Lonchura striata: one gene and its partners. The protein of the gene in region 3 interacts with the protein of the main gene of each other region in a biochemical or structural test. Links are inferred from orthologs where the notes say so. Each region holds a gene or a part of one and is shown on either strand. Other genes may lie near its edges.

Evidence for each region. The genes of interacting proteins can lie anywhere in the genome.
Region 1: the proteins of FGFR2 (region 3) and FGF10 are reported together in a solved structure, tested with the Homo sapiens proteins (3 studies listed by BioGRID and IntAct, with this or other methods). The link is inferred for Lonchura striata from reciprocal best matches to the Homo sapiens genes FGFR2 and FGF10.
Region 2: the proteins of FGFR2 (region 3) and FGF7 form a complex in vitro, tested with the Homo sapiens proteins (3 studies listed by BioGRID). The link is inferred for Lonchura striata from reciprocal best matches to the Homo sapiens genes FGFR2 and FGF7.

What each region holds. Positions count from the first base shown.
Region 1 is NC_134642.1:34,761,691-34,768,821, forward strand, and holds the start of FGF10 (fibroblast growth factor 10), read left to right. Parts: upstream 1-4,125; 5' UTR 4,126-4,352; intron 4,353-4,568; exon of another isoform or gene 4,569-4,712; intron 4,713-4,841; 5' UTR 4,842-4,916; exon of another isoform or gene 4,917-5,041; 5' UTR 5,042-5,250; coding exon 5,251-5,587; intron 5,588-7,131. UniProt on the Homo sapiens protein: Plays an important role in the regulation of embryonic development, cell proliferation and cell differentiation. Required for normal branching morphogenesis. May play a role in wound healing.
Region 2 is NC_134613.1:14,254,027-14,262,075, forward strand, and holds the start of FGF7 (fibroblast growth factor 7), read left to right. Parts: upstream 1-5,043; coding exon 5,044-5,329; intron 5,330-8,049. UniProt on the Homo sapiens protein: Plays an important role in the regulation of embryonic development, cell proliferation and cell differentiation. Required for normal branching morphogenesis. Growth factor active on keratinocytes.
Region 3 is NC_134609.1:28,086,792-28,093,756, reverse strand, and holds the start of FGFR2 (fibroblast growth factor receptor 2), read left to right. Parts: upstream 1-3,954; 5' UTR 3,955-4,045; intron 4,046-6,965. UniProt on the Homo sapiens protein: Tyrosine-protein kinase that acts as a cell-surface receptor for fibroblast growth factors and plays an essential role in the regulation of cell proliferation, differentiation, migration and apoptosis, and in the regulation of embryonic development.

The sequences.
Region 1 (7,131 bases), on a different chromosome or scaffold from region 3:
AAATTGTGATTTTGCAGATTTTTCAAAAGAAAAAAAACCTGAATATTTTTTCCTCTAGCTTTAGGACATATTTTGTTAGATAAAATGCAATGACATTCAGTCCCTTTGTTAGAGGGCATGAACTACACAGTATAAATATTTCAGCAAGCAGCACTGTATCTCAAATCAAACAACTTGTCTCATTGGTGGCTGCTGCTACATGACACTGCCTTTTCTTTGTAATTCAGAGATCCAGTGCCACAGACTGGGACAGAATAGAAAGTGTCCCAACAGAAAAGAACCTGGGGGTGCTGGTGACAGCAGCTGAACATGAGCCAGGGTGTGCCCAGGTGGCCAAGAAGGCCAATGGCATCCTGGCCTGGATCAGCAATGGTGTGGCAGCAGGACCAGGGCAGGGATTGTCCCCCTGTGCTGGGCACTGGTGAGGCCACACCTCGAGTGCTGTGTCCAGCTCTGGCCCTCACTGCAGGAAAGACACTGAGGAGCTGGAGTGAGCCCAGAGAAGGGCAATGGAGCTGGGGAAGGGTCTGGAGCACAAGTCCTGTGAGGAGCAGCTCAGGGAGCTGGGGGTGTTTGTCCTGGAGAAAAGGAGGCTCAGGGATGACCTTATCACTCTCTACAGCTGCCTGAAAGGAGCCTGTGGCCACATGGGGTTGGTCTCTTCCGCCAGGCAGTCAGCAACAGGAAGAGAAGACACGGCCTCAAGCTGTGTCAGGGGAGGCTTAGCTTGGACATTAGGAAGAATTCTTCACAGAAAGGGTGATTAAACATTGGAATGGGCTGCCCAGAGATGTGGTGGAGTCACCAGGAGCTGTTTAAGGAAAGACTGTATGTGGCACTCAGTGCCATGGTCTGGTTGACAAGGTGGTCTTAAATCACAGGTTGGACTTGATGATCTCAGAGTTCTTTTCCTACTTAATTGAATCTGTGATTCTGCGATTCAGTGTTTTACAATACCAAGTTCTACAGTTTGGATTTGACATACAGAGGAAAGCATCTGAGCCATTGATGGCATTTGGCATTCTACACCTTGCTTCTGACAGAGATGCCCCTCTGGCAGTGACAATCCTGGCTGAAATCTCTCTCAATGAAATCACTGGCAAATTTCCCAATACCTTGAATAAAAACAAAATTAGGTGATATGACCAGAAGATGCATGTGCATCTCTCGTCATACTGAAAGCAGCAAATGTTCATGATCACAATCTAGCAATCTAAACTGAGGGGCTACTGACATCTGGGAGTAAGTTGATTATATTAACACCCAAAGACATAAACAGAATTTATTTACATCACCAAAAAAGATAAGACCTTGACTAAGGGAAATCATGCAAGGCAAAATTTATTCCAACTACATTATATATTTTCTACTTTTTACAATTTCTTTTGGAAAGTGTTTTTTTTTTTTCACTCTTGATGGGTCAATGTAATTCATAATTTATAAAACTGCAGTGCGGGAGATATTTTGCAGAATTTTACAATGGTAAAAGGCAAAACAGAATTACTGTTTTGAGCAGCAGGTACCATTTCTGGTCTAGGACTTGTACTGAAGGTAGCTGCTTTTCAAGCTTAGCAATGGAACAATTAATAAAGAAACCCATTAAGGTCTGATTGTTGCTACTAAAAAGGAAGGTTGAATTTCAGGCCTTTGAAGTAACTGAGAATGATTCAGGCCTCATTACAGAGATATAATCTACATTCATACATTTATGTTAGTGATTCAAATCTATTGGGACAGATTGAATTCCGTTAAATAGTGGATCTTTCCTGTGGAACTTTTCTCAGGCTTTCTCAGGCTAACCTAAGAGGTGACCTGACAATACAAAGTACTGGGGTATTTAGGGATTCAACTGTGCTATAAAAGAAAGGCTATACAGAAGGTAGAAAAAAGAATGAGATATAATCTAAAAAGCTATGTCAGCTTTTCATTTGGACTCTGTTTTGTAAATGCCCTCCTTGTCATCACACAGGATAGAAAAGGACTCTGTGCCTTGCAGTAGTTTAAAGTACTGCCCTGAATATTGCACCTGCCAGAAGCAAATCTTATGTGAAATTCTGTGCATGTTGAATTTTCTGTTCTTAAGCACAAAATCTTGCAACCAATATATAGATAGTCATGAGCTAGAAATACAGCAAAACTCTTCCTGAGTAAATTCAATATAGTACCTATTTTTTTCAGGGTTAATTATAGGTGTTTAACCCCCAAATTATTTCTAACTCCAGCCAGAGATCCTAAAATGCCAATTCACTTTATTTTCCAACATTTGCCATGAAAAAGAGAAAAACAAAAAAGAAAGACAAATTCAAATCTAAAAGTTTAATATATTATAGAAATTTTTTATAATTTAAGCTGTTAGAATAAAAATTACTTCAATTTTAGAAATAATGTCTTCATGACCCTGGCAGCACTCAAACATTGACCTAAGCTTTGTAGACACACATGTAAGATGTCAGGCATTCACAGAAAGGAGAGGTTTGCTTTACATTTTGTCTTGCTACTCTACTTTTTTAAAATTAATTACCAAAAGGAAAAGCCTTTGGCAAAAGGAAAGCCTAAATCAGATTTGTAAAAAGAAAGATTTCTGAAATGCTTTGCACTCAGTGCAAATACATGCAGAATAAATAATCTGAAGTACCATAAACAACATCGTAAAACATATTGATTTTAACATTAAATGGTTTCATTTTTAAGGCTGTTTAAATGTCACCCCCAGCAGCTGAACACATAAATTTAGGAACCAACTCTCTCCAGAATAAACACCACAATTGGAGAAAATAATTTCTAATTTCTGTTGTGAAGTAAACAATATATTTAACATCCTAATCTAATGAATCTGTCTAATTTTAGAACTGTTTGTTCTTCCTGCATTTTCTGTTGTTTAAAGTAAGATTTACTCCAAATGCCAAATGAAATCACAAAGGAGGTTTTCCACTGCATTCCACTGATCTGCATTATTTAACTGCTTCTATTTCAAAAAAGTTTTGGGCTTACTTATTGAGCTACTCACTGTGTTTCTGTACCTATGTCCCTAGTATTCCATTCTCTTAGCAAATGTTCCATCTGCTTGTGTTCCAAAACAGCTATTTAACAGTGCTAAATACTGATTAAAATATAATAGCTTGCATGCTACCCATACCCTGTCAGTTCCTGATGCTTTTTTCCGGTATTAAAAGATAGTATATAATATGGAAGATGCTTGTTGATTACAGGGAAAGTTGACAGTTCAGTAATGGGCTAGAAATGTGATTCTTACATTCAATATGTGAATGTGTCATAACATTCAGTATGTGAAATGATAAATCCACTGGAAGAGATGGAATCATAGGAAGAACCAACATATGCCCCTCCAGGAAAATAATAGCTTGAAAAATCGCTTAAAATAGCCTTGAAAATGGAAAAATTGTTTCTTTCTGGCAAGGGAAACTGCATTAGTTTTAAAAAAAATTTAAAAAGACAGAAAAGTATTCAGACAGATTTTATGGGGAAACCTTTGCAATGCCAATAAAATCCCTTTTGCTTTGAAGTCAGACGCGTGATTCAGTAAACGACTCATGTTAGCAATTAGAAAATGGTCATTTAGGGCCCTTATTTCTTTTGAGACAAGGAGAGTAAGGGTGGGGAAAGAGACACAATAAATCTTGAGAGGCTTAAAAGGAAGAACAGGCTAAAGTGTGAACTTTTTATTTCAGCAACGGAAGCGAGAAATCAGTGATTCATTGAAGGAGGGAGAAAGACCTCCATGCAAGCTGGCAGAGAAGAAGGAAAAGGAGCTAATTATGTCTCTTCCCTTTTTACTCTCTCTGACCAGCATATAATCTGCCTTTCCAGGGTCTGCCTGTAGTATATACTCCTTTCCAACCTCTCCACCCAACCCCTCCTCCAGTCGGGGGGAGGGGGAGATCTAGCAGGCAACAAGCTCCAGGTGGCTTTCTCAATCACTTCACTGCCAAAAAAAATAAAATAAAACCCTCCACTAGAAAACAAGTTGGGGTTTTGGGGGTTGGTTTTTGTTAGTTTGGGGAGGTTTTTTAAAAGAGGAGGTTGGTTGGTTGAGGTTTTTTTATGGTTTTATTTTGGGGGGGGGGGGGGGGGGTGTTGGGAGAGAGAGAGTGGGGGAAGAGTGAAGGGGGAGGGAAGCCTCGCTGGAGGGGATTGGTTCAACTTGGAAGACAGGGAAATTAGTAAAGCATGAGTCTCTAAGCCATGCTGGTGGCCGGCGCTCCGAGGAGAAGGACGCTTTAGGAGCAATTAGCAGCGAGCCGAAGGCGGCGGCTGCCGCAGCCCGGGAGGAAGCGAGGGCAGCTCCCGGGGCTGCCTCCGCAGCAGGCACTGCTCGCTCCAGCTGCAAAAAGGTTTCAGATGTCCCACCACTGCCTGACCCCCTGCAAATAAGGGCTGACCACCAGAGGCACATCCCACCTCTAACTTGTAATCGCTGACATTTAGGCTAGAGCTTCCAACCTGTTTACAACCGAAGGGGGAGGGAAAGGAAAGGAAGGGCGGGGGGAAACGTTGGGATTTCTCCTTCTCTCTTTCTTTTTTTTTTTTTTTTTTTTTTTTTTTTTTTTAATTCTGTTCTGGAGAATTCAAAGAAAACAAAGAAACTTCCTTCTCTGGGGTTGTCAGTGAGAAAAGGACGAGTTGTGCAACTGTTTTGGGATTTGGAAAAGGCAAGAGGGTGGGGATCAGAAGAAGGTGCAAAGCCACAAAACGTGAGTGCGCGTGTGTGTAAAGGTGTATGTGTGAAAAGTCCATTCCGGCAACCCCTTTCCTCTGGCTATTATTTTTCTTAGTCTTGTTTTTTGTTGTTGTCATTGACTTTGCTGTCATCTATTTTTCAGACCTTTCTGCATCAAAGATGGTGAAGAAAGGAGTGAGGAAGAGAACAAAATAACTACTGGAAAGTCTCAAACCAGGTTGGGGAGTGTGTGTGCATGTGGGGGGTGGGGAAGGGAAAAAGAAAAGAGGATTAACCACAGCAACCCCCCCACCCCAAAAAAAACCCAAACCAACAACCAACAGCTCTTTTTTTCTGAGGGAGGACTCGAAGGATTAAAAGGCAGCAACTTCTGAGGCGATTTGTCCCCTGAGTTATGGATGTTGGTGCACTTACTTCAGGCCAGATCAGAGCTCAGAGGAATCTAACCAGAAGCAGCAACCACCGTCTCTCCACTTGCCTTTTACCAGGTTTTACCCTTCCAGTATGTTTCATTTGATAAGACATTTTCCAACGCCCAGAGTTTCAGTACAATGTGCAAATGGATACTGACAAATGGTGCCTCAGCCTTTTCCCACCTGCCTTGTTGCTGCTTGCTGCTGCTCTTCTTGGTGTCTTCTGTGCCTGTCACCTGCCATGACCTCGGCCAGGACATGCTGTCCCCGGAGGCCACCAACTCCTCTTCTTCATCATCCTCCTCCTTCCCCTCGTCCTTCTCCTCTCCTTCCAGTGCGGGGAGACACGTGCGGAGCTACAATCACCTCCAAGGAGACGTGCGCAAGAGGAAGCTCTATTCTTACAACAAGTACTTTCTCAAGATCGAGAAGAACGGCAAGGTCAGCGGCACCAAGAAGGAGAACTGCCCGTTCAGTAAGTACGGCTCTGCCGCCGCGCTGCCGGGCAGGAGCCGCGGCGCCCCGCGCCCGAGCCCCGGCTGCGCAGGGAAGGGAGAGGGGGCGCCGCGGAGGGAGGGGGCGCACGGCAGGCTTGGGTGGGCTCGGCTCGGCTCCTCAGGGCTCGGCTCGGCCAGCCCGTATCTGCGAGTCTCTCCGGTTACATTTGTTTTGCAAATGGCCTCGCTGAGCACCGTCTGTTTCTTCGCCAGGCAGAAGAGCAAATTAGAAAGATTTGCAAGGAAGTGGCGGGGAGTGTGTGGGGGACATTGTCTCCTGAATCTGAAAATCATTATTCCCTGTCATTAGAGTGCCTTGACGAGAGCGCTGCATTGGAACAATTAATCGGTTGCCCGCACGCTCCTCTCCCCGAGCCGCCCGCTCCGCGCTGCCTCCTCCCCGCTCCCGGAGAGGGGTGTTTATTCCTGCGGCCGGGGTCTGCCGGGGTGCACTCTCCGCAGCGGGGGTGCCCGGCGGCGCTGGAGCCGGTGCGCGGCCGCGCTGCCGCCCGCGGTGCGGCGGAGGCGGTGCCGTGCTGCGCCCCGCCGGTCCCGGGCTGCAGCGCCGCTATACCGCTACTCGCTCCATTGTAAACATCTGGGGCTGCCTTCCCACAGACCTCACACGCGTTTCATTGTCCCTTTTTTTTCTTTCTTTCTTTCTTTCTTTTTTTTTTTTTTAAATAAATTATTTCAGAGCAAAAGTCATACGGCAGTCTCCATAGCTGATGTTTCGAGCTTTTCTCTAGAATTAATTAGATGCATAGTAATAGGATGCTTCTGGTAATGTATTTTTGGCTGCTAGTTCTAGAAATGTATCCTTTACTTGGTTTTCCTGCCTGTGCAGTCTCAAATTGATCTGTACTAAATCACAATATATTGTCTTCTCTTAAAATCTTAACTATGTCCCACTATAGGAGCATGCTGAGAAAGTAAGCTCTGTTGCGCAACTCAAGGAAACTCTAAGGCTTTCTTCACTGGTAAAGAGCCACATTTTGGTTCTTGTGTTGTTTTATGTAAATCCAGATAAACCCGTGAATAAATCTGCTGTTAAATTAAAACAACTGAAAGTGAATTAAGTCGATCCCTTGTTTGCAAATGTGTAAAATACATACAGCAGGTTGCCATGCTATATGATAGACACTGCTGTTAATTCAGCTGTATTTCTAATAAATACCCATAATATAACCTTAGAAAAAGTGATAAAAGGGATGGAGTATCATGTGTTGCTGTTCACTTCCTCCACCTTGCAACTTCATGCTTTATCACTTACTCTAATGTTTGTAAATGCTTTAGATGTCAAAGCAGCTGAATCTTACCATGTCCCTTTCTGTATTACATAGAAAGGCAAAATCTTAAAAAACAGCAGTGAGAGAGGCTTAACTGATGAATTTGTGAGGAATGAGGTCCTAGAACGGTGTTTCTTAGATGACCCTTGGATTTGGAGGACAGCACCCCTAAAATGGGATTCTGAAAGCTTTGCATGCATCTCCGAGAACATCAAACCATTCTGTATAGCACA
Region 2 (8,049 bases), on a different chromosome or scaffold from region 3:
ACAAGATCTAACATAACTATTCCCTTCAGAAAGGGAGGACTCATCTGGCTGTTGTTGCATTCTGTTTTTATTCTATCTCCTTCAAAAGTCACTATCAGGATACTCCATTGTCCAAGTGAAAAAAGCCTGGATGGATTTACCTTTGAGTTTACTATTGACTGAGATAGGGTATTCTTAGCCTTTGCTTTCCCTAAAATAAGCTATATACAACATATTTGCTGTAACTAATTAAAATAAAAGGAATTAATTATTTAGTAGCCAAACTATTTGATAATTTGAGCAGGGTTTTTTTCCCAAGTATCTACCACATCCCATTCAATTTTTCCTGTAGATTTAAATCAGCTCAATATGAACTGGATGAATAGGAGGAAACAAAAAAAGGAATGATGTTGAAGCGATCTGTTTTGAAAATTGCTTGGAAAAAATTGCTGTTGTCTTTTCAATATGATTTTAATAACCCATACCAGTTAGCAAAACCAAAAAGACATTCTTATATTCAGGGAGACAAAGGATTCATAGTTACAGTTTTTAATCTCAGCCTTACAACCTGAAAAGATCAATCAAAACTGAGGTGCAATATTCCTTGTCTCTCTTGTTTTTACTGCCTCATTATATGAGTTTATTTTCCACACATGTTGCTGTGTTTCTCAGATTCTGCAACGTTGATAAAAGATTTGCTCAAACTCTAGCACTTTTCTTGTATCTCTTGCATGCAATAACAGTCAGCCTTGATCTGATGCTGATTTCTGAGATGTGGAAACTGTGGATAAAGATTGAACCACTAGAATATTTAGCACCTTCACATCCATGGTATTTTTCCCTAGAACCTTCCAATCCCAGAAGTTTAGCTTTTGCTGCAGGGCATTAAATCCCAAGATCTTGGGTTTAAAGTCAGATACACAGATTTTTATCTTCATACTCTCTTAAACTCTGCAAGTTCTGGGAGATGTTCTAAAGCAAATTCTAAATGGATCAGGAAACAAGGAGGAAGAGATGACGATTCTTAGCAGTGATGTGTTGCCCTAAGGGCAAACTTGACAAAATTGAGGTTTTTTAAAAGTCACATTCATGACCCAATGCTACAGTTGGGCAGTAAATTTGCAGCAGCCCAGCCTGGAGATGAAGAAAGCATGGGACCTTGTGTTATCATCTGAAAGGACAAAAAGTAACTTCCTATGTAAGGAAAAAGGGAATTATCTTTATAAAGTTATATTTTAACTGGAGACCAATGCCCAGTCTTTACAATCAGAAGCAAAGTGTTTGCAACTAATTTCCACTTCCCTTTTCAGCAAGTGCATTGTAACAAAAACTCTTATCAACATTTTGGAAGCACCAATGCATGCATTCAATATTAAAGGATGGCTTACAGCATGTGCATTTTGCACATTTCCATGTTTCCTGTGGTCCTGAAACCTGAACACCTCACCAAAGAAACAGAAAATCACAAGCATTTTAGGTGGAAAATTCCTATATATTATTAAAGAGTTGCTGGACATGCATTTTGTTAAACAGATACAGCACCAAGCATCAGTCAAGCTAAATCTTCTCTAAACATAAAGCAATTCAATTTGAGAGACATTAGTTATGCTTGATTTATCAGATGCATGTTGGGCCATTCAGAGGCTTGGCAACACACGCAGAGAAGCCTGATGTACACATGCACATCCCTTCATTAAAAGATACAGAACTGGACTTGTTGCATAGCAAGACATAAAAATATGTAATTAAGGAAGACTGCAGCTAAAGCATGGTGGAAAGACATTATTCTATAATTACAAAATACAAGGATATGAATGTTAGCAGCAATAATTAAATAGTAACTGCATTGTTCACCAACTAAAATTGGACCTAGTGCCTTATCTAAGCCATTTCTCATTTATTCTTAACTACAAAAGTTTCCAGAGATCTGAAGTGAGGCACCACTTAAGAAAACTCACATCAAGAGATTTATTTTTTCAGAGCCAAGAGAAATACATACTTATGCCTGGACCACTAATAGCTCCAGCTTTCTGGAATTGAAACCTCAGGTATGTATTTTTTCTTCTGGTACTAACTGTCAGAAACAATAAATTAGCAAGGAAAAAGAAAAATTAAAACCAGTATGGATCTGAAAGTGCAGGTTGTTACTGAACATAAAAGACCTAGAATATTTACAAAAACATTTCTACTTACATCCTATTTTGCTGAGTAAAACACAGATTACCTTTTATCCTTGATTGCTTTCTTTATAATACACAACAGATAAGCCTTTTGAATACCACAAATTTTTTTCATTGCTATCATTCTGAATTCAGACTGTGGAATGGGTCAGAGAACATGCTGATATAAATCCAGCAAATGTACTGTAAAAGCCACAAGTGGGATAAGTCACTTCAGTCCTCACTCCTTGTCAGAATGGTGGCATGGGTTGACAAGACAGAAGTCAAACCGGAGACAGCTGTGATCACAGTTTACAAGAGTTAACTAACGACAGCTACTTCTTTGTGTATCAGCTGCAGGTAGGCAGCCTTTGAAAGCCCTCAGCAGTACATCTTTCATATCAGAAAAGTGCATATACTGAGTCTTTTGCTAAAGTAGGAAAATGAGGCTGAGCTACAGAACACAGAAAACAGCCCAGTATGCTGAAATGGGGATAACAACAAGAAAAATCTATCAACTGTGGACTATAGTCATATAGTGTGAAAATGGTTAAAAAAGAATGCAAAGCAAGTGACAAATGGGACTGATCCATGTGGGTGCTGACAAGGAGGCTGTTGATATTAAGGAAGGAAATTACTCATTCTCTCTGTGTATAGGAAAGGCTGAGTACTACAAGTTTGCCTGGTGTGCCTTTTTGTTAATTTTGGATCAGTCCAGTAAAACACCCTGTTTACTTATGTCCCACTCACCACAAGGTGGCACATACGTACTCCCTGGGATTTTTAACTGCTTCTGCAGTTCACTTAATTTTTAATTAAGAGGGAGAAAGGGAGTGGGGATGGGATAAGAACATGGAATCATAAACAGCATATATTATTAGGCAGAAACTATTAAACATAAGTAAAATATTCTTAACAACTGGATTAATTCCAAACTTTCCTTGTTGATATTACTTACTAAAGGGACTGATGTGTTCTCACATCAACAGTGGGGCAGTTAGAAAGGATAAAGAGCTACTGAAAACTTTGCTTCAACGAGTTTTACAAATACACTCAACAGAAACAACAGAATTTCAGGGTGAAATGGAGCATGGGCAGGCCAGTGTCAGAGAGAGAAACAGGTACACAAAAGCAGAAAACCAGGTGTATCCACTCATTATTTTCATTCTCTAGATCTTAAGCCCATTGCTTGGTGTGCAGTATTAGGGGTTTTCTTACATTGCTGCCAGTTTTCATTCTCCCTTTCCGTGTTTCCAGAACTAACTACATATGCTAAGAAAGGCTGCTCCCTTGTAGCAATTTTTCCTTCAAGCTGATAAGGTTGCGTTTGAATGTCAGACTTTGAAACATCCAAATATACTTTCTCATTTTCACCTAGTGGCTGATCAAATAAAACCTCAATGCAGTGGTCCCTCTTTTCAAATCCATGCTATAAAAATATACCTCATGATCTCTAAGGGCTACAGCACACCCTTCTCCAACGTATGTAACAGACCCATGTCTCATATATCCTTCAGAAAGGCACTTAAGCAGACTATGAATCCACCAGACTGCAGAAGAGATTTGAAAGCACACTGAGATAAGCGTGTGAGTACAAAAGAGAGGAGGCGGAATTTTTTAAGGACAGAGAATACTGACCTAAACCAGAGCACAGAAACACTAACTAGCATGTGAAACAATTCTATCCACGCAGCACAAAATATACATTTTTAGAAAGAAGATTCTTGGAGATTTAAACCATAAACTATGTACATAGCTCCCTCTGATGACCACTGGACACGATACAATGCAAGTCTCCTTTTACTTTTGTTCGTGCATTCAACTGACAGCTGACTGGTTAAATTCTAATTGCTTCCAAGTGAGGTCAGCAAAGGTATTTATCGAAAAGGACTGAACAGGCTCAACACACACATGCACGCGCACGCATAAGCACATACACATCTCTCCAGCCTGTTGATTTATGGAAACAATTATAATTCTGGTGGAGTCTTTCTGAGCTGAGAAAGTTTGTAGCTACAGTAGAGTGTCTCATGTTGCAAAAAGGAGACAGCAGAAATGGAGTACATGGGTATCCAGCTCTTATCAACAGGAACAAGTAAGTTATTTGTCCTTTACAAGATTATTCAACAGTTTCTAATAGCTAGTAACTTATTTTTATTTCTGCATGCTAGATGCTAAAAAAATAATTAAGAAAACTATTTTTACTAATAATCTGAAAAGGGTAGGAATAAAACACAGGGCTAAAGCCATGAGGTCTGTTTTGAAATCTGAACTAGAGAAAACTTATATGATAGATTGTGCTAATAGTAAATATATATGTAAGATGTAATCAGGAGAATTTTATCATGCATGAGAGTTGAAATGAATCAATATGAGATTTTTGGAAGGACTTAAAACTGAAGAAAGAACTGTGTTTACAATCAGTGTAAATATCTGGTTATGTAAAAAGTTTTATGAGATATATCTATCGTATATGCATTAGTATATTTTTTAAAATGAGCTCAGCATGTCATGTATTTTTGTGTAGTACTTTTCATTAGCATAATGTATCCTTGCACGTTTGTAACAATTGAGCATAACGACTTACACATGCACCTTTTCTCACAGATCTTTTACTTTCAGTGCAAGCAGCAAATTCAAGTAGTAAAGAAGGTCACAGCAACAAAGGTTTTTATAACTTGTGTCTTTAAAGGATATTCTGACTGAAGAGATATTTAAGAAGCTCTTCTATTTCGCCATTAACATTAAGGAATAACGATCAGAATTCTAGAAGAGGGAGCAATCTCACTTAAATGAATCTGTAACTCATAAAGACAGAAAGCAGGTCGGTGACCTAGAAGCAACAGTCTACTTGAGATTTAATTTTCATTATGTTGTTCATGAACACCCAGAACACTGCACTATAATGCACAAATGGATACTGACATGGATCCTGCCAATTTTGCTCTACAGATCATACTTTTACATTATCTTTCTAATGGGCACTATATCTTTAGCTTGCAATGACATGACTCCAGAGCAAATGGCTACAAATGTGAACTGTTCCAGCCCTGAGCGACATACCAGAAGCTATGATTATATGGAAGGGGGGGATGTAAGAGTGAGAAGACTTTTCTGTCGAACTCAGTGGTATATGAGGATTGATAAACGAGGCAAAGTGAAAGGGACAAGAGAAGCAAACAACAACTACAGTAAGTAATATTTTTGCTTTTCCTAAGTTTTTAGAAATTTACATATAATTTTTTCCTATCCATTGATCTATCATAATTCCAGAAGAGTTTTGTATCATGTACTGGCCATTGTGTAAAACAAGTTTTCCAATTAATCGTACAGCAGGACATTTGCTATTGATTTTGAAATGCGTCATTTTAAATACTGCATTGTAGATCTGTTAATGTATTAGTTACAGCTGGGAACTATTAGCAAACAGAGAGCCTATTTTAACAAGTGAACTAAGGTTATATGTACGAAAATGTATAACAACCAACTCTCCTCATAAAATACTCCTGAAACATTAAACCACTTTTATATAGTGCACAAACTACCTAAAAGTTTGGTGTGTTTGAGTTAACAATTAAAACATAGAAATACTAGAAAGTTCAATGGAAAGAATTATGTAAACTCTCTTGCAAAATCTTTTAGACAGTTTGCCAAGCCAGGAACAAAATCTATTATAGTTTCTGCAGTTCATTATTACAATAATCATGATGCTTAAAAAATATTCTCCCCCCATTCTTCTAAAACCATGACTCATCTAGAGAGAATGGACATACAATATTTTATGAAGCTGTATCAAATACAAATTCTGAATTGGAAAAAGAATTGTTGTACTAATATATATTTTCCACATAAATACCTATATAATCTTTGATTAATATTTGAAGACATCAAGTTTTACAGTCACTATTTTTGCCACTTTGTCTTTTGTGTTATTACAAATGTATTGTTTATTCTTCTGCTTGAAAAGGCATTACTTTATTAAGATGCAACAGGAAAATACATAGGATTATACAACATACTTCAAAACAAAATTATAACAAAAAGACCACCAAGGACATGCTGGTCTAGTGCTTAAAGACAAATAAAAGGACAAATATATTTCAAATAATTGCTTTTAAAAATTATTAAATTTGTTGGATATAATAGTGTGCTTTTTATAATAGTAGCAGCAAAAGAAATCCATAAATCAAACTTCAAGAACTGTTAGTGTGTGTCAGCCTCCAGCTGAAGCTGAGTGCTTGTTTTCTACCAGAGCAGCACTTTGGCGTGCTCTGCGCCTGCCTAGTGGGCTTCATCATTTATTTCTTTGCTTCATGACTACATTAAGTGCTTGGCAACTTGTGTGGCTAAAACTGCATTCACTAATGTCACTGTTTCTTTTAAAATTTGTTTCCATATGTCTCCTTTCTTCTTACACTATTACATAGTGAATAACCATATTCCTCTGAAAGACAACATATGGCCAGCAGCCAACTAAATTATTTGGTCCATATTCAAGAAGACTCCCTTTGAGTTTCAGGAGGGCATTGCTACAACAGAGATCCATAGGAATAGTTTTGAAGTGAAATGTTGTTCCCATAAAAAATCATAAATGGAAAAAATGTTACTGACTGTTTAAGCTGATTCTTCTGAATTAATGCAGATAAGTGAATATTCACAGTATCCATTTTTTTCTGTTATTATTTACAATCACATTATGACAGCATCTAGAGCTAAGTAATTTATTATACAGAGTTGCTTTTTTTAGCTCCATAATTCGTAAGTAAAACCTTGTTAGCAATTTAGCATTATTTCAAATTCAAGCAGAGGTTCTCAGTTCTCTGAGGGATCCCATTCTGCTTAAGCGCATTAGCGACACACTTAAACATTCTGTAGGGAGCCCATCAGAGAACACCACATCCCCTTGTGCCAATGATGTAGTCTCTTGCAGTTTCCTGAACACTTCAAGATAATTCAGTCATGGTAACTAACTATTATGAATTACAGAAAGGGAATCTTGAGTCACTAAACCCTTATGTTTACATTATAGTGGAAAAAAAACCCCAATCCTTTTTCTGGTAAATGTAATGAGTATGATGAGAAAAACCATGAAATTGTAATGGTTATCTGCTAACTGATGTGCATTGTGATGAACCATCTTTAAATTGGCAGAAGCACATAGGATACTCCCACCATCTTAACTTTAATTTATCTATAGTATCTTAAGGAATAACACCCAAATGCTTTTGTTGAACAAGTAGATAGGCAAATATAGACAAACAGGACTAGAAAAATGTGAACACTGATAATCTGGATTTTCTCAGAAACTAAAGAAATTAGTACCGCAGCAATATTATGGAAACACTTTTTGTTATACCCTTTGTTCAACAGAAGATGTAAAGACCCTTTCTGAAGATGTGCCTATGGCTCTCTACCAAAATCAATAACCACAAAGAAAATGATATGAGGGGGCAAAAACCAAAACCAACAAAAAAAACCCTGAAAAAATAATGCCCACCTGGACTTGTACACCTTCCTTAACGAAAAAAAAATAACATTAGAAATTTAAACAGTATATTTTTATCCAGGTTCTCTGAAAAGTGTAATTTTAAAATCATACAGATGAAAAGGATGTATTTTTGTGTGTTCAAACATTCTTGTTCCATGATTTCTTAGGATGGAATGCCAGAACTGCTGTAGTCAAACTAATCAATGGACATGAAAAGTGTTGCTCCAAGAGGTTTCTTCTCATTTTATCCCAATTTTCCACTTACATAATAAATAAAAGAAACTGCTTTCCCTTTTGAATGTGCTGCTAAAATTAAATAAGAAATAAGATCATATTTTTACCTATCGTAATTTAGCTTCATGAAGGAAACTGTCCTGAGAGTTTTGTAGCTCAAGTGAGCTACTTCTTTTCAGGCCATGAGGT
Region 3 (6,965 bases):
GGTGAGAATTATTGATGGAAGCCTCTCTTTTAGTAGTAGCTTTTGTTTTAAAACAGGGTTGTTTTTGTATGAAATAACTTTTCCCTAAGACACTGAAAAATCTATAGAGCAACTTTGCCTGTCTTTGAAAAAAAAAAATCAGAAGTGGGGTCCTATTATTTGCTCTTGGGTACCCTAAAAAGGAGTTTGAAGCTGCCTGGAAAGAAAACCATAAACATTTTGGAAACCAGGTAAATATTTTAGCTGCCAAAGTTTGAGTTTAGACACTTAGCTTTGGAAGAACTTCAAAGAAAAGAAAAATCTTAGACAAGCATTTAATCATATCCAGCATGAGCAGGAGAAATTTTTGGATGGGACAGTTGGAATAACAGGGAAGAATTGTTGATTCCCATTGTCTTTCATGGAGAAAACCCTCGGTGATGTGTGTGGTTGAATTTGGATTTAGGGAGTTTCTCCCCAAAGACCTCTAAGACTTGAATGTGTGGGCTTTCATTTTCTTTCATTTTTTTCCCTGCTTTAACTCCATGTATTTTATTGCTGTTTCCATCAGCGGCATGTTGGCAGGTCCTGCACCTGGAGAATGGTGCAGTGCTGCAGAACCTCCTTCCCCGGGGTACCCATGGCCTCCCCTGCCATCTGCCAGGAGCTGGGGCTGCTTCCTCGCTGGAATTCCACGGAGGAGCCGCTTCCCGCGGAGCTCTGCCTGCCCTGATATCTCCAGCACTTAAAAGAAATGTCAGAGAGTCTGCGGGGATTAGAAGAACTGAGAGAGCTCTGTGCTGTGCTTTTTTCCGAGGTGACTTTTCCCGCATTTCTCGGAGGCGCTGCCTGCCCGTCTCACCCCATCTCCCCGCAGACACGAGCTGCTTGCCACCTGCTGAACCTTCTGCCTTCATCCCTTCCAGCTGGGCTTCTATGGATGAGCTGGTCCAGCCCAGGAGCAGCCTGAAGTCGGGCACATCTTTACCCCCCCAGGTAAAAGGGATGTTGGGAGGGAATGAATCCATTCCCTAACTTTTTGCCTTCATCCCTTCCAGCTGGGATGAAGGGATGAGCTGGTCCAGCCCAGGAGCTGCCTGAAGTCGGGCACATCTTTACCCCACCAGGTAAAAGGGATGTTGGGAGGGAATTAATCTATCTCCTCAGTTTCTGCCTTCATCCCTTCCAGCTGGGATGAAGGGATGAGCTGGGCTCTGCTGGGTCCAACCCAGGAGCTGCCTGAAGTCGGGCACATCTTTACCCCGCCAGGTAAAAGAGATGTTGGGAAGGATTGAATCCATCTCATCACCCAGCTGTGCCCTCGCTGCAGCTGGAGCAGGGCTGGGACCCTGCTCCTGTTGAACATTAACTCTATCCCTGCCTGCGTGCAGAGGGAGGACTGGAGCTGGGCTGACAGCAGCGACAAAGAGCTGGCAGGGCTGAAAGATTCAATTTAACTTTCTTTCTCCTCCCCCGCTTCCATATGCGAGGGCACACAGCGCTGTTCCTGCTTTTGAAACTTGCGGGGCAAAGGAGCATTGGTGTCCTCATTTTCCTTCCTCCCTATTGATGTATCATTGCCAGGATGAAAAAGGACGTCTCAAGAGCTTTTGAAAAAATGGGTGACTACTCAAGACATTTTATAAAGGAGGAAGAATGGGAGAGAAAATAGGACTCGGTAGGGGGTAGAAGGAGCCTGAATGTGTGCCTTGTCTGTCTATTCTTTAGCTTGAAACCTGGAGCTGTTGTTCCTATTTCAGTTCAAACTGTCACCTTTAGTTCATGATGGCTTTACTGCCCTTGCTCCTGAACCTCAACAGATTGGGGCTTATTTACCTATTCACACTCTGCTGTGGAACCTCATTAATAGGCTTATTAGCCACACCATTCACGTGCAGGAGGGCTCACAGAAAGGATCCCAGCCACTTTGAGAGGAGGAGGAAAAAACTGTAAAGAGATTATGCTCTCATTCAGCAGCCTAACTGCTATGAAAGGCTCCCTGGGCCCACTGAGATCTCTTGAAGCCTAAATATGATGACAGAATTGATCCCCCCCCCCCCACCCCTTTAATTCCAAACATGCTTCTGCTTTTCTCAGATTGAGGAGCTGGGCTGTTGTGGGCCACTTTAGGAGAATGTGGCTCATTTAAGAGAAAAGGCTGCTATTGATAGACTGCTATCTTTTCATCCTCCAAAAGAATAAATTCTGACAAGTGCTTCCAGACCTTGGAAATAGGTGTTCTGACTTGTCATTTTTAGTGGAATGCTTCCTTTTCTTTCAGAGTATGCAAAGATATCGATGAATGGGGAAAGGTATTGCAGCTTCCTGTGCCGGACAATAATTTATGTGAGAATGTGTTAACAATGTTTTCAATGGGCGATGGACATGCCCGGTGCTGGGAAAATTGGATCTTGACTGTGACATCTCAGCTTCTCAATTAGTAACATTCAGATGTCTGTTGCTTTAGGAACAACAAAAAAACCCCGCAAAAACAAAAAACGAAACCTGTGTTTCCAATCAATTACAAATTTGTCTGCCCTCCCTCATAAAGGCTGCAGTAGTGGTGGGAAAATACGTGCTGGGAGGTAAGTACAGAAAACTTGAAGTTTTTGGTGTCTAGGTGTGTGGAAATAGTCTTACACTACGATGCGTGGCCTCAGTCCTTGAAAATCCCCTTGATCAATACTTCACACAACATATAAAATGTACAGTAGAGCTTAAATAAAGTAACATTAAATTGATCAACACTGATTAAATTTGAGGCAACCACCACTTATTGATTTTGTTGTCAAGCTGATTCTACACAAGCAAGCATTACAGACTCCATATTCAAAACCTTTGAATGGTTGATGGTATCTAAAGCAAATGTTTTATTAAGCAAGGATCAGGCTAAGCTATATTGAATTCTGAATACCAATATTATGCAGTTTTAAATCCGTGTGGCCAAACAAATGATGTTTGCATAACTTTTCGACAACTTTTCCCATTTGGGCACCACACGGGTATTAAAAGTGCACTGTCAGACCAACTCACGGGGCAGCTGGAATCAAGCTTTGGATGAGAGGCTCCTGAGGGTAATTTTTGGAGCGGGTGTTATCCAGCTACCCTCTCTGGATGGGACTGGCCGCTGGCCAGCCGTGGCTTCTGAGCCAGAAACACTGCAGGAGAGGTTTCGGGGACAACTGCCGAGCTGGTACCATTTCAGCGTGAGGATGCAGACGCTGCCCAGCGCCGGGGTGGCGGTGCCGCAGCCCAGGCTCACCCGCTGCGGCGGCGCTTTCCGCGCACCTCTCCCTCTCCCTCTCCTTTCCAGCCCGCTGGAAAAACTTTCAGCGGAGCAGCCGGCCGGGAGCAGCGCGGGTTCCTGCCCTCGTCCCCGCGGCCGCCCCGGGATGCGCTGCCCCGCTGCCCCGGGCGGGCAGGGCCGGAGCGCGGCTCCCCGCTCCCCTCCTGCCCCGCGCCGCTGCTGCCGCGGGGGCACCCGCGACCCCCGGGCGGGGTGGGGGCTCCCGGCTCCGCACCTCCGAGGGCTCGGCGGCGATTGGCAGAGCCCGGCAGCGCCGTCCAGGAAACGGCTCGGGTTGCAGCGGGGGGAGTGACCGGGGGAGGAGGAAGGAGCCGGAGGAGTGCGCCGAGAGGGGGGGAGAAGGGGGCAGAGAAAACCCACCTCCCACCCGAGGGGGCTGTCGGCGTGACAAAGCTGCGGCGGCTCGGGGCGGGCGGCTGGATGGAGCGGAGCGGGACCCGCGGCGCGCTGCTCGGCGATGCCCGCGCGGGGGAGGAGGCAGCTGGCGCCGGGCACGGCGGGCTCGCCCCTGTGAGGCGGTAGCCGCCGCGGCCGAGCCAGGGCACGGCACGGGACGGGGCGCCGGGCCGGCTCCTGCCTCGCCTCGCCGCCCTCCTGCCTGCCCCGGGCGCGTCCCGCGGGGGATGCGCGGCGCTGCGCCGCTGCGGGCTCGCCAGCCGCGGCCGCCCGCGCCGTGACCGCGGCCGCAGCCGCGGGAGTTCCGCCCCGTCCCGGGAGCCGCCGCTCCGCAGCGGAGCCCGCCCGGCGCTCTCGCCGCAGGTAAAGGCAGCGGGCGGGCCGGGGAAGGGCGGCCCGGGGCAGGGCTGGGGGTCCCGCCGCGCTCCCGGCTCCGGGCGGGGCTCGGGGGTCCCCCGGTGCGGGGCTGGGGGTGCCCGGGCCGGGATGCGCCGGTGCGGGGCTCCCTTTGCTCCGCGGTGGAGCTGCGGGTCGCGTTGCGGTCGCTCGGTCGCCGCTGCGGTGCGGGGGGAAGCCCGAGCAGCAGCGCTGTTCCCCTGCCGTTCCCGCATCCCCGTGGGTGTCTTCGGGGATGGTTCCAGCGGTGACAGCAGCACGGGCGGAGGAAGGGAGGCTCGCCCCGGAGGAGCAGCCCCGCCTCGGTAGCGGCCGCGGGTCGGAGCCCGGTCCTGCCCCGCCGTGCTGCGGGAGCGGGGCTGCGGGGCACAACCGCCCCGTCTGGGACAAGGGGGGAGAGAAATCGTCAATGAAATATATATTTAAATGCAAAACGGCCCCTTCAAACTGGGACCCATTATGCGTTTGGTGTGAAACGCTATCAACATTTAAAACTTTATTGTCTCCTTTGTACCAAATCCCTGTAAATCTTCCACTAGCCTTTTCTCATTTTCATCTGAAAAGCCTGTTTGGGCTGAATAGACAGCAATCAGCAGCCTCTGGACTTCTCCCGCTCTCTGGAATGTCAATTAAAATGCAGATTTTTCTTCCCCCCCCCCTCCCCGATCTCTTGGTGGCAAAAGACTTGAGAAAAACAGGATAGTCCTGGAAAGCAAATGAAAGAAGTTCAAACAATGAAAAAGTACTGAAGCTGCCAGCCGGTTCCCATTAGTCCTTCAGAATTAATGTTTAATAGCTGTGATACTCAGATTTGCTTGGCGATTGAACTCTGCTGAAGAGTCTTGTTAGATATATATGTGTATGTATATTTTTATAGATGGATGTATATTTCTGCATTTTCTGTCCATACACAATTCTTCTGTCAGTGGAATTGTGTATATAAAGCTGTTAGCTTTAAAGCTTCTTCAACCTGGATTTTTTCTGACGAAGCTACTAGGCTTTTAGAGCCCTTGAGGTTTCTTTGTGGAGGGAAGATCCATATTTCACTCAGATTTTGCTATTCCCCGCCTAATTGAGAAAGATGCTGAAAAGTTATACAGTGACCAATGCATTGATTTGGTTAACATACTCTACAAATCGTGCTGTCCCTGGGGAGTGATAAACATCTTATAAACAACAATGCAAGTAGATTAAAAAGAACACTGAGAATTGAATTTAATTAATGTCACTGCTGAACAAGTACTACTTGTTTGTGTGTGCGAGTGTGTTTAAACTGAAGTGCAGCTTGGAGGAATTTGGTTGGGCTCCCAAACCAGTCTGCTTTCCCATGCTTGTCAGTTTGGCAAAGAAAATTTGGGCAGGTATGTGACGAGGTGAAAATTGACTTGATGAGCGAGTGGCAAGGAGAGCCATCAATCATTGGGGGCTGACAACTCCTCCCCAAAGTGTAGGCTGAGAAGAGAGACAGAGTTCCCTTTCAAGGGGAAAAATAAACACTACGTGTGGCTTTCACTGAGTCTGAGACTCCAGGAGGGATTATGGTATTGTAGTCAGGAAGCCAGAATTGTGGAGGCCAAAAAGCATGCTGGGGCTGTGTTCCAAACATTGAGATAGAGGTACATAATTATCCAGCACAGGAGGTCTTTCCAGGGACTCGTCCCCCAGCAACTGTGGCAATTAAACTATGAAAAGAATTTGGTGGTTTCGTTGCATCTTCGCTGGACTCCACTTCTTTTGGGAGAGGGCAATCCTTGAAGCCTGTCTGCTGTCCTGGTGGTAGAGTGGTTTGGCTCCATGGATGGGTGCAGAGCTCTGATTTTTGCATCGTTGCGCCTTCGCAAGGCAGGATTTTGGGTTTGCTGCTGCCCTGTGGATGAAGAATCCCTTCTTTCTGCCGGCAGATGTTGAGGTGCAGGAGGCAACAAAAACCTTCAGGTGAGGAGACGCGTGGCCAAGTAGCTTTGTGCCGCTCTTCAGGATTTAGGGTGAGGATAGGAACCACAAATGTGCTGTCAGTGGTGTTTAGTGTAGTCTGAAAATCTGAAACTGCAGGAATGTCAGTGGAATTAATGCTCTTGGAGTTTGAAATACATGCTGGCGTTCTGGTATGTTTTCTTTCTGCAAAACCGTGATAGGATTTTGCATTTATCAACATAGGCTTTAATCGGAGTTTACAGGATGATTTATGGAAATGAAATCAGCATTACAGCCAGGCTGTTAATGAGGGGTTTCTACCCACTTTACAGCTGGATAAACTGAGCTGCAGGGCTGTGGCTGCCAGACAGCGAGGTGGGCAGTGGACCTGGGTGGTGGCATCCAGGGGGGTTTGCTCCACGCACAGAGTGGTCCCAAAACCAGAGCTCTCTTCAGCTCTACACCTGCTCTCTGCTTATTTAGAGAAGGGCCGGGCAAGCTCTTTGCAAATGTTTGTGCAGTGGTCTGGTGGTGTTTTCGCTGGAAATGTAATGGTAGTTGCTAGCTTGTGGTCTGGGATGCTGGAGCCGGGCTGAAATCTTTACAGGAAGGGACAGGGCTTTGAGGTGATACCAACGGAGTTGGAAAAAGCTTGCCCTGAAGTAGCAGGGATTCATCTTGTATTGTTTTCCTCAAGTGATTTATTTATGTCATCCAAAACCTGTTTCTACTGACTCCAAAAGTTACTGTGTATAGTGCCCAAGATAAAAGATGCCCCAGCAGCATTTGTGAACTTTGTAGCAGCTAGCGCAAGGCTAATAAAAATCAGAATCAACTTTTTAAATGGTTGGCTTTATAAAAGGAGAATCTTTGTCCCTGTTTCAGCATGCTGAGGTACCACACCAAATCTTAATGACAAGAAGTTTGGAGAAGGTTTACATTATCTCCACACTCCCTTACTTCTTCTTTTTTT